Saccharomyces cerevisiae S288C: one gene and its partners. The gene in region 2 interacts genetically with the main gene of each other region. Each region holds a gene or a part of one and is shown on either strand. Other genes may lie near its edges.

The links.
Region 1: mutations in BNA5 (region 2) and TNA1 together harm fitness more than expected from each alone (negative genetic interaction), as found in Saccharomyces cerevisiae (2 studies listed by BioGRID).
Region 3: mutations in BNA5 (region 2) and ALT2 are lethal when combined (synthetic lethality), as found in Saccharomyces cerevisiae (one study listed by BioGRID).

The regions. Positions count from the first base shown.
Region 1 is NC_001139.9:1,010,592-1,014,618, forward strand, and holds TNA1 (Tna1p), read left to right. Parts: upstream 1-1,893; coding exon 1,894-3,498; downstream 3,499-4,027. Other genes in the region: ssDNA endodeoxyribonuclease RAD2, read right to left, coding at 1-175; APL6 (AP-3 complex subunit beta), read right to left, coding at 3,730-4,027. UniProt on the Saccharomyces cerevisiae protein: Involved in the uptake of nicotinic acid.
Region 2 is NC_001144.5:605,217-608,999, forward strand, and holds BNA5 (kynureninase), read right to left. Parts: upstream 1,904-3,783; coding exon 542-1,903; downstream 1-541. Other genes in the region: EST1 (Est1p), read right to left, coding at 2,209-3,783. UniProt on the Saccharomyces cerevisiae protein: Catalyzes the cleavage of L-kynurenine (L-Kyn) and L-3-hydroxykynurenine (L-3OHKyn) into anthranilic acid (AA) and 3-hydroxyanthranilic acid (3-OHAA), respectively.
Region 3 is NC_001136.10:677,655-681,727, reverse strand, and holds ALT2 (alanine transaminase ALT2), read left to right. Parts: upstream 1-1,963; coding exon 1,964-3,487; downstream 3,488-4,073. Other genes in the region: PDS1 (securin), read left to right, coding at 111-1,232; replication fork barrier binding protein FOB1, read right to left, coding at 3,926-4,073. UniProt on the Saccharomyces cerevisiae protein: Inactive alanine aminotransferase. Forms a catalytically active Schiff base with PLP, but lacks alanine transaminase activity, probably due to an altered structural conformation of the dimeric enzyme.

The DNA of each region.
Region 1 (4,027 bases), on a different chromosome or scaffold from region 2:
AGAACCCAGTAATATGAGAATTCTTCACTGCATTCCCCTCCTGATCACGGACAGCTTTCAAAAACTGATATATCCAAATGGAGGCATCTACTGCCATTCTCTTATCTTCCAAGGATTCCAGCCTGACCGGTCTTGCCGTAGGACCTGCAATATCCCAAAATGAATGCACACCCATGTCTGAAGTTTGGCGTTCTCCCGAAAATGCTTTTCTTCATGGATGACGTGTAGAACCTTCAATGATTTACGTACAGTTTTTCAATCCCTTTAAGGTCTCTATATGTGGCGGCATCTTTTCTTTTTCTTTTCTTTTTTTTTTTTTCACTCTCCCTTTTAATGCCTCCACGGAGGTTCGAATGGGTTATACTAGAAAGAAAAAAAAATAGTGATAATTAACAATGAAAAAAAAAAAACAGCAACAAAATGTGGTATTGGGGTCACACCACTCATTGACTCACATCCTCTGGAAACATCAAAAAGCTACCAAAAAAGAAAAAAAAAAAAATTCAAGTGCGAAGTTTCCGCATATGCAAACCTTACTTATTGTATAATATTGGTAACAGCAGCTACTAAGCTCCCTGACTCTGATTTCTCTCTCTGTCTCTTTTGAGGAGTACCTTCTGCGCTACTGTGTTCCAATGGTATCTGCGCCTTGAAAATCAATCACAAACGCTCTTGCTATGGCCTGCCTTGGACACGATACGTCGCTGCTTATGCCGCCAGGTGTCAGTAAATGCTCTGACGCACCCATTCACCCCGCGCACTAATTTGCAAAATTTGGGGGCAGTTTGGGAATACTCCATAGAAAAAATCGACTTCAAATCAATTCCGCACAACGTCGCCGTGTTGGCTAAAGTGAACGGAAAATGGACGACATGGTAAAAGAACAGATATGTACATATACAGAAGCCGCGATTTCACATGCCGGCCATTATGGCACACAACCAGGTCTTGTACTGTCACTATGTGCGTTCCGGAACGCCTGTACAGTCCATGGTGAACCATTTATTTATTTATTATTATTATTTTGTACATTATTATTTATGCTATATGTTATTATTATTATCACTATTTAATATTATTATTCGGGTCCAGGTGAAATAACAAAGTCTGGCGCCAGTCACTTGTCTGGGTGCCCGTATTCTCTGTTACAGCGGTATCCCTCTGGATTCTGCAATCGTCGCCGGCTTCTACTAATTTTTCCTTTCCTTTTTGTTTTTTTTTTTTTTTAGTTTTTTATTTTCTAGTTTCCTGCTCGTATTCTGTTGGTTTTTCCAGTGTCTCTCTCCTTTTACAAGTCACCCATTCTCTGCGAAGAAGCGGTCGCACCAACAAAATAGAAAATACCACCGGACGCCGGATCGCTTATTACTCGCAATCATAGTTACCAATCACAGCCGGGCATACTCGGGATCTACCGTAGAATCCTATGCGTCACACATGAGGACAGGTTACGAACCGTCGAAGGCTTCGCGGCGTGTGTGATTAGTATTGTTTTGACCTCATCCATACACCCTGAAATATCTGTCGCATCTCCGATTACGTTAAAAATTCTGGATAATATATAAACCATGAGTTTTCCTTTCTTTGAAGTATGTTCCTACTCGAGATCCTTTTGTTATTTTATTGCCATTTTTTTTTTGTTTCATATGTACTTCTTATCTACTATTTATATTTCTCTATATTAACTAACTCTCCAAGCTATAAGCATACGTCCATATTTACTGTCTTAGAAGTCGTATTCACATCACAGTTTTCCCCCTCTTCGCCTTTTTCAAACTATTTTCCCCCGTGAGACAGCGACTGAAAAAAAAACGACTGCGCAGAAGGCTTATATAAAAAAAAAAAGAAATATTTCTTCACTTTCGAGCATTGAACTATTGTCATTACCTCTAGATGAGCAACAAATTTACAATGGAGTCACCTAAGCATTTGGTGGATGATGTGCTTTTCATATCACCCACCAATGATGGATCAGAAGAAAAGCCTACGGAAGTCACGTTCCAGGAAGATGAAGGCCATGACGCTAGCTTGCATAATCGCAGCCATGACAAGAAGTCGGAACTTGCCACCGAACGGGAAATTATGGCTACTACCACGGATGATGACGGCATCCCCTCCCCTTCCCATCCAATGGAAAAGCGTGTCTTGCGCAAAATGGATATATACTTGATTCCTCTTATGGGGATGCTATATTTCCTTTCTAACCTGGATAAATCGAATATTGGTAACGCAGAAGTTGCAGGTCTATCCAAGGATATCCACCTTGTAGGAACGCAATATAACACATGTGTCACAGTTTTTTTCGCGACGTATGTTCTTTTCGACCCCATAGGTACTAACCTTCTGAAAATTATGGGTCCGCCATTAATGATGAGTATCTGTTTGACCTGTTTCGGTGCTATTTCGCTCGGAACTGCTTGGGTTAAGAATTATGCTCAATTGATCGTTGTCAGACTACTACTGGGTGCCTTTGAAGGTATGATTTATCCCGCTATTAACATGTACCTTTCAGTCTGCTATAGAAGAGAACAATATGCTCTGAGGTTCGCTTTTGTCTTCAGTGCAGCCTGTTTGTCTTCATCTTTTGGTGGGCTGATTGCTTATGGTTGTTCCAAAATCAGCGGTTCTCTAAAGGACTGGCAATACATTTACATTGTCGAAGGTTGTATCTCTTTGGGGTTCGTACCATTCTATGCCTTCGGGTTGAGCAAAAATTTGGAGGATTCGTGGTTTTTCAATAAGGAGGAAAAAGAGTACATTTCCGAAAGATACAAGACTATGAACACTTTTGACCCGGACGAAAAATTTGAATGGTTCCAAGTGTGGCAAGCAGTTAAGGATGTCAAGACTTGGGCTAGTGCTGTGGCATTATTCGGTATCGATTTGACTACTTTTGGTCTAACAGTCTTCTTGCCGATCATCATTACCAGTATGGGGTTCACTAATGTCAGAGCTCAATTAATGACCGTGCCCATCTATTTCCTTACAGCAATTGTGTTCTTCATTTGTGCCGTTTGGTCTGATCGTATAAAGTTGAGATCTCCATTCATCCTGGGTGCTTGTCTGACGACTTCGATAGGCATAGCTATCGTCCTTGGTTCTCAAGTTCATGGTGTGAGATATTTTGGCGTTTACATTCTTTGTATGGGTATTTACGTTAATGCTGCCTGTAACTGTTTATGGTTAAGTGGTAACACTGGTAATTACTTCAAGAGAGCCACCGCTTTAGGAATTAATCTATTTTTCGGGTCTGGTTCAGGGTTGGTCTCTGGTCAAATTTTTGTTGCCAAAGACAAGCCAAGATATATCAAAGGGCTGTCGATTAGTCTGGCCTTTCAAGTCTTCTCCATATTTATGACGGTTGTGCAAATTTTCCTATACAAGAGGGAAAACGATAAAAAGAAAGCAATAATAGATCGCTGTAATGAATTGGGAGAGCCTATTCCATACGACGAAAGGTTAAGCGACAAAAACCCTGAGTTTAAGTACATGTATTAGGCTTGACTTTCTTCACCCTCCACTTTTTTTGCCCCTCGTTATGAGTGTGTTTGCAATTTGTAACTTTTCTTTTATATTTGTATGTATTTTTGTACTAAGCAAATTCACATGAAACTTTGTTTACCAACTTCTCTTTTGTTTTCGTCCCAAACACGTATATTACTGGGAAGATATACATGCCTATATCTATATCTATAAATATACATATTTATATAGTATTATCTCCGAGTTCTAAAGCTCCAGATGCGAAGAAGACGTTCCCGAAGAAGACGTTCCCAAAGAAGAGTCACTATACTCATCATCGTCACTGCTCTCTTCCGATTCGTCTTCATCCTCGTCACTGCTTTCTTCCACCACCTTTATAATTTTCCTTGGTTTACTCTTCCTTTCTGGAATGTCGGAAAAAAACTCGTCCAGGCTTTGCAAACGATATTTCTTCCCGTTTTGAGATGTGAAGGTGTTTACGTTACCTTTACCTGAGATGCTATTGCTATCGCCGTCATTGATCCCAGTCAATTTTGCGTTGGAG
Region 2 (3,783 bases):
AGTCTACAATACAAAATTAGGTGTAACGTAGCTACAACAGTTGATAGAAATAATGCAACTTTTTTTAAAAAAAAAAGAGAAAGTGCTCGAGGTGGGGATTGAACCCACGACGGTCGCGTTGCTTTTAAAGGCCTGTTTGAAAGGTCTTTGGCACAGAAACTTCGGAAACCGAATGTTGCTATAAGCACGAAGCTCTAACCACTGAGCTACACGAGCATTTTCGAAAGAGACGTAAATTAAATTGTTATTTATACCGTAGATGATTGTTTTTCACGAAATTACCCTTTTGAGTTCCGGCTTGTTTCGTTCAACAGTACTACCACTGATAAGTTAGCTTCATTATTGGAAGAAGGTTGATAAATGAAAGAAGATTCACGACTATGCACGGCAACTGGTAAGTAATACACGGGCCCAGATATTTATTTTAATTCTTGGAAAGAAAGTATAAATTTATAGGTTCGCTATCAGTAAGTATACGAATTTCAAACTACGTCATATATAATATCCAAAAGAAGATGAAGGCGATGCGGTCACTCTAGGACTACAACTTATCCATCGCCTCATTTAGTGCATTCACCGCAATGTATACATCTGAAAATGTATTATATAAGGGAGCAGGAGCCAATCTAATTACGTTTGGTCTTCTTGCATCGCCAATGACACCATGGTCATGCAAATATTGGAAAACTTTGGGCATAATATCCTCTTTTCCAGTGTCAGAATCGAAGTAAAGTGACAATTGGGCGCCATGTTCTTCATCTGTGCTTGTTGGAGTTAATATTGTAAAAAAACATGGTAATTTCTCGATCCTTAAAGGGTGTTTGTAATACTTGGAGGCTTCCAACAGTTCCGTCATATAGTTCGTCAGCAACAACGATCTTTTACGAACTTCATTAATACCATTAAACTTCGCAAATAATTCCAATGAACTTCTCAATGCCACTGTGTCAATAACGCTTGGATTAGATTGCCTGAATCCCAATGCTCCTGGAATCGGCTCGAATACTTCCAGCATTTGAAATCGCTTAGCAGGATCATTGCCCCACCAACCAGCTAATCTTGGCAAACTTTCCTTAGCAGGGTCTGGTTTAGTATGCTTCGAGTGGACAAATAAGCCACCAATTCCACCAGGCCCGGCATTCAAGTACTTGTAAGAACACCAACAGGCAAAGTCAACACCCCAATCATGAAGTTGCAATGGGACGTTCCCTACAGCGTGTGCTAAATCCCATCCAACCAATATGTCGGGGAATTGGTGGGCAAATGAGGTGATTCGGCCAATATCGAAATATTGCCCCGTGTAATACTGAACACCTGACAAACAGACCAGCGCCAATTCATCTTGATTTACCTCTATGGTATCCAGGATATCTTGAGTTCTGATATAAGTCTCTCCCTCGCGTGGCTCGATCTGAATAAAAACATTCTCAGGTTCCGAAATTCCATGAATTTTGCACTGGTTGTAGAAAGCATAATAGTCTGATGGAAAGGAGCCCTTTTCAAAAAGGATCTTGAATCTTTTCTCAGTAGGTTTATAAAACGTAATTAACAATGAATTCAAATTTGCAGTGAGACTATTCATTACTGCAACTTCATTTTCTTGAGCACCCACGATGGGGGCTAGTAGTGGAAGAATAGGTAAGTCAATGCTGACCCAAGGCACCTTTCCTCTGGCTTCTTCAGGATGTTTGAAATGCGATTCCACAGCACAATCGCTCCACGCATCTAGCTCAGCATTAATTGAATTCCTAGTTGACTTCGGCATCAAACCTAAAGAATTCCCGCATAAGTACGTCACAGGCTTATCGTCGGACGATAGTCCCATGGATTTAAATGTAGGGATGTTGAATTCATCCCTCAGAGATTCCGGATATTCTCCGTCTAATTCCAAAGCTTTCTCCATAATTACCAGTTTGTTTCTTTTTTCCACAGAATATTTAGGCTTAATATGTACGTATTGACAGCATATATATTTGCTGTCTTGAATTTATTATGCTAATAAATAATTATGTTTTTCAAGCGCAGTCACCTATTTCCAAAGCGATGGGTTTGTCCGTGCCGTAGACGGCATCCCGTCGTTTTAATAACCGTTATAAAAACCGCCCCCATATTTTCGTGGGTTGACGACGACAGGCGTGGACGACGTTAATTGACGTCGTCATAATATATTTCATATTATGATTTTTTCCCTCACCATTACTTGTTCTCTCAAGTAGGAGTATCTGGCACTTGGACGGTGATGTCCTCATCAGCATCAATTGCTTCGTCTGGATATGAGAGAAAATCAGAGGATAGTGGGCCAGTGATAGTTTTTCTCCCTCGTGAAGCAGCATGTTTTACCAACTCAGAAGAAACGCCATCTTTTTCTGGGAGCGGAGACAATTTTTTTGTTCTCCGGACATTTGCAAATTGTTTTTCCAGTTCTGTCACAGCTATTTTCCCGGCTCTTTTGCGCTGTTGTTCATCTCTTTTGGCCTCAACTTTTCTCGAAGAGACTACTCTTTCCTGTTGTGTTTTTACATTTATTTTGGAGGAAATTTCCGATAATGCTATTTGGCGTTTTATTTTAATATTTGGGCTTATTAAATCAAACTTATATTTGCTGGCATTCCATATGACGCCGGTGTCATTTTTCTCTAAAAATTTCATGCCAGAAAATATTATTGATCTAATTCGCAGAACACATTCTTCTTTTGGAGAAAGCACTTTAGTCAATGTAGGGCATCCAATTATATTATTAATCATGTCGGGAGAATCATACACATAATCGTCATTAAAATCTGTTAGTGCAAAGTTAATGCAAGAAAATTCCCTGAAAATAATATCTTCTCTAAAAAGATAGCTTCTTTTCGGCCTGTGGCTATATATATTTCCTGAACAATTCAGTGGACTATTTATCAAGTCGTTCAGCAACAAGGCGAATGAAGTGCAAAACTTCCTGTGTCTGTGAGTGTACTGCAAAATAGATCTATATGACTTAATCCAGCACATAAGCAAACGAATAATGGCTAGATATCGAAAGTCTTCCATGTTTTTTTGCCAGGAGGGTTTGATGACGACGTCTATGATATTAGCAATAAAATCAAAGCTCAAGTCTAAAAAAAAAACCTGGCGCTCACTCAAATCTGCATATTTGAGTTTGTTCTTTTGTTCCTTACTTTTTCGAGTTGTAAACATAAGATCGAAACTTCCCATTGTGGCAGCCAAGTTTTCAAGTATAACATTAATATTACCTGAATGATACTTTAATGCAGCCATTTGTAAATGCTCTTTCAATAACCAACAATTAGAAGCACGTGATGCGTTCCATGACTGTGGAACCAAAGTGTGTTCTACTATCGATAGAAATTGCAAAACAATTTGACCTTCAAAGAATGATTTCTCACCTTTGAGATCTTTTGACACAAGAATTGCCAATTTTTTCATCAGACGTCTTCTTTCCGGAAAATCAGGAGTCAAAATGAAATCTTTCAAATTGTTTAACGCACATTTAGACGGAATCCTTACCAATGCTCCTCTTACTAATTCAAAGAAATACAGTGAGAATTTCCCAGTGATCAAGTAAATTTTCGCTCGTTGAAAATAAGTATCTCCAACGGCTGGGAGATAGAGTGAGGCAATATTCAAGTACCTAATAGACTTCTCAAAACCTTCCACACTCTTGGGTTTGTTAGACGGCTTGTTTAGTAGTGTTTTATAAAAATGTGTGGAACCTAGATTAATCACGCATCTTTGTAGTGAGATTACAATGGAAAACGTCAGTGGATTACTCGTGTTTAAGAT
Region 3 (4,073 bases), on a different chromosome or scaffold from region 2:
AAATCAATATTCGGCGAAGGCAAGTAACGGTTGCTAGCGGTTTTTCCCATTCACATACTATTACACTTCTGCGGTACCAAGCTAGATTAAGTGCTAGATAATAAACCTTTATGATGCCAGCTAACGAAGATAAAGAGAATAATATCGTATATACAGGGAATGAAAGTTCCGGCATTAACTTTCCACAGACGCCGGCTCACTTGCTGAAAAGGTCGCACTCTAATATTTTAAAACCACCTGTAAGATTGGACCAACTCAAAAGGGATGCGAACAGCAACAATGGCAACACATTAAAGTACATACAAGGAGGGAAGGAGGTGTCACCCACAAAAAGGTTGCATACCCATGCGCAACAACAAGGAAGATTGCCTCTGGCAGCAAAAGACAACAATAGATCGAAAAGCTTTATTTTTCCCGAAACTTCTAATCAGAGTAAAGATGCAGACTTACCACAACTACAGAATACACTATCTATACGCAAAAACGACCAACTCAGGAAACTTTCGCAAATTTCTCGCAGTCGTAGTAGGGCCAACCATAATGATTTGTTAAGCAATTCAAGAAAGTTACAAAAGTACGGTTCTGTCCTTGGTTATAATGCTTTACCTAAAATGAAAAGTCTAGTTTTAAAAGATCTTGCAGATTCAGGTAAAAATGAAGAGAGTTCCGACGATGATGAAGGTAATGAAGATTCCGAGAGTAAACTTGGCAAAAAACTCCAAAGTGCACTTTTAAAACAGGATTCCTCCGACGGTGAAAATGAATTAAATGGTGGCCTAGGACTATTTAATGAGCAAGGTGGTCTGCAACAACTCATAAAGAACTCCACGAAGAATGAGCAAAAAACTAAAAACGATAAAAGTGATAAAACTGATGACTATGATATCGAAATAGCACCACAGAGGCAGGAGCCGTTACCGTATGTACCAGAAGGCTATTCCCCATTTCAACAAGATGATATTGAAAAGCTGAAGACGTTCAACTCACCATATAAGCTTGACTTGGAAGACGAAGATGACACCCCAGATAAAGTTGATTTACTCCCACTAGAACAAATTGATGAAGAAGGCGAAAAAGATGAGACTGAGTGCATCACTCGGAATCAAGAAGAAGGTGCAGCGTTACCACTGCTGTCTAAGAACTTCAAAGAAGTTGCCGCCGTCCCAACCATGGAGTTAGTGTACAGCGAAGAAGGCCTCGATCCTGAAGAACTAGAGGACTTAGTTACTTAGATCCACTGCTCATTCACATACACACAACATATATACACGTATATACAGATACTTTATAACATACAATTCTGGTTAAAAGCGGTTGCTCCTGCCGCCGGGATTTAATCTGCGGCCTCACCCATACCTCAACTACCGCCATTGTTCGTACGTTTTAAATGGCTTCGCTTCACCCTTGATTGGCAAAGGGTCCAAGAGGGATCACATCACGATACTATTGTTTCTACTAATGTGCTGCGGGCTGATGTCCTCCACACGTCTTCAATTGCTTCTCTTTATGGGTTCTCAAAGTACTTCGTCATAATTACTTCATTATACCTAAGAAAATAATTTCATTTTTTTTCTGAATTTTTTAGCAGAAAAAAAAAAAGTTCAAGTTTGGCCTCATTCGCAATATTTTCTCCATGGAAACGGCTTGTATCTTGAGGCTTCTCCTACTTGTTTGGCGATTTTATTTTATTTTTCCTACTCTTATGGTCCCATATGTACATCTACATATCTCTTCAAATTACCAATACACTTTTAGGATAGCTAAATTTACTACTTCGTGTGGGAACTATATTCTGTTCACTTTTCTTTTTGATCCTTTCTTGACTGACATCATCCTTTTCTCATTCAGTAAATACCCCAATATTTCCTCATATCTCTAGAGGCATAAAAGATAAGAATAAAGGGAAGGAGCGCCACAGTAGTGTTGTTTTTGTAAGTGGTAAACACAGAAGAAGTAAGAACACATGACAATGACACACCAACAGGATTTGAAAGGTGTGTTCACCGCAAAGGATTTGGATTTTAAGCCCGCTGGCAAGATTACTAAAAAAGATTTGAATACAGGTGTCACTAAGGCAGAATATGCTGTAAGAGGAGCTATTCCAACCAGAGCTGACGAGCTAAAAGAGGAATTGAAAAAAAACCCAGAAGTTTTGCCTTTCGATGATATTATCAATGCGAACATTGGTAATCCGCAGCAACTGGATCAGAAGCCTTTGACCTTTACCAGGCAAGTACTGGCCATCCTGGAGTACCCGGAAATTTTACGAGTAGGCCATAATGAACTGGCTTCTTTGAACTTGTTTTCCAGGGACGCCTTGGAAAGAGCTGAGCGCCTCTTGAATGATATTGGCGGTTCTATAGGGGCATATTCGCATTCTCAAGGTGTGCCAGGAATAAGGCAAACAGTTGCTGACTTCATTACTAGAAGAGACGGCGGTGAGCCCGCTACACCGGAAGATATTTATTTAACCACTGGCGCTTCGTCCGCGGCAACTTCTTTGTTATCTTTATTGTGTAAAGATTCTCAAACAGGCCTGCTGATTCCAATTCCGCAGTATCCGCTTTATACTGCATCCGCATCTCTTTTCAATGCACAAGTGCTGCCATACTACTTAGATGAGGAGTCAAATTGGTCTACAAACAGCGACGAAATTGAAAAAGTAGTGCAAGATGCTTTGAAAAAACAGATCAGACCATCTGTGCTGATAGTTATTAATCCAGGTAACCCAACCGGTGCAGTTCTTTCTGAAGAAACCATTGCCAGGATCTGTTTGATCGCTGCGAAATACGGCATTACAATCATTTCTGATGAGGTCTATCAAGAAAACATTTTCAACGATGTTAAATTTCATTCGATGAAGAAAGTCCTAAGAAAATTGCAGCATCTTTATCCAGGAAAATTCGATAACGTTCAGCTCGCCTCTTTACACTCCATTTCTAAAGGATTCATGGATGAGTGCGGCCAAAGAGGCGGTTACATGGAAATTATTGGGTTTTCTCAAGAAATAAGAGATGCTCTTTTCAAACTCATGTCTATATCCATATGTTCTGTTGTCACAGGACAAGCTGTGGTTGATTTAATGGTCAAACCACCCCAGCCTGGAGACGAGTCCTATGAACAAGATCATGACGAAAGGCTGAAAATTTTTCATGAAATGCGTACGAGAGCAAACTTATTGTACGAGACGTTTAAGGAACTAGAGGGTATCGAATGCCAAAAACCTCAGGGTGCAATGTATCTTTTCCCTAGGCTTGTTTTACCTAAGAAAGCTCTTTGTGAAAGCGAACGCCTTGGCATCGAACCTGATGAGTTCTATTGCACATCTTTGCTAGAATCTACAGGTATTTGTACTGTCCCAGGGTCTGGGTTCGGACAAAGACCCGGGACTTATCATGTGCGAACAACGTTTTTGGCTCCAGGGACTAAATGGATTCAAGACTGGAAAGAATTTCATCAAGATTTCTTCAGCAAGTATCGTAATTGAATGAAAAAAAAAAACTAATGATAATGGCTTTCTATTTGTTTTGCATCCATGGTGGGGGTGAAGTTTAAATTTGTAATAGTATACATGCATCATTCTTTACTAAGGGAAATAAGGAAAAGTATATATCTGCCTCTTGTAATATTGTTCAAGGAAATAAATTTTGGAGCATTCCTCTGCATCTATTGTTCAATTAAAAAAAAAAAAAAAAAAAAAAAAAAAAAAAAAAAGTAATTATTCATATAAAACCACCTTGCGGGCAAGATCATATTATCCAAGTTGATACTTATTTAAAAATATAAAAATTTTTTAACCGCGTACATTAAATACAGGGTCATATACAGGAAGAGCTTTCAACACCTTTTTGAATACTTTATATGCAATAGGTGCTTTTTTTTTTCACCTATGGTGACTCCTCCTTTCATTCTATCCTACATATTATTACAATTCCATTGATGTGCCAAAGTCTCTTGTTTGATCTCCATTACCCTGTTGGTCTAATTTCTGTCGTTTTGTTGACGGCGATTCCAGAGTTTGATAGTAGGAAGTTTCTGGTCTAGTTATTTCGACACTTTGATCTACTTGTGAT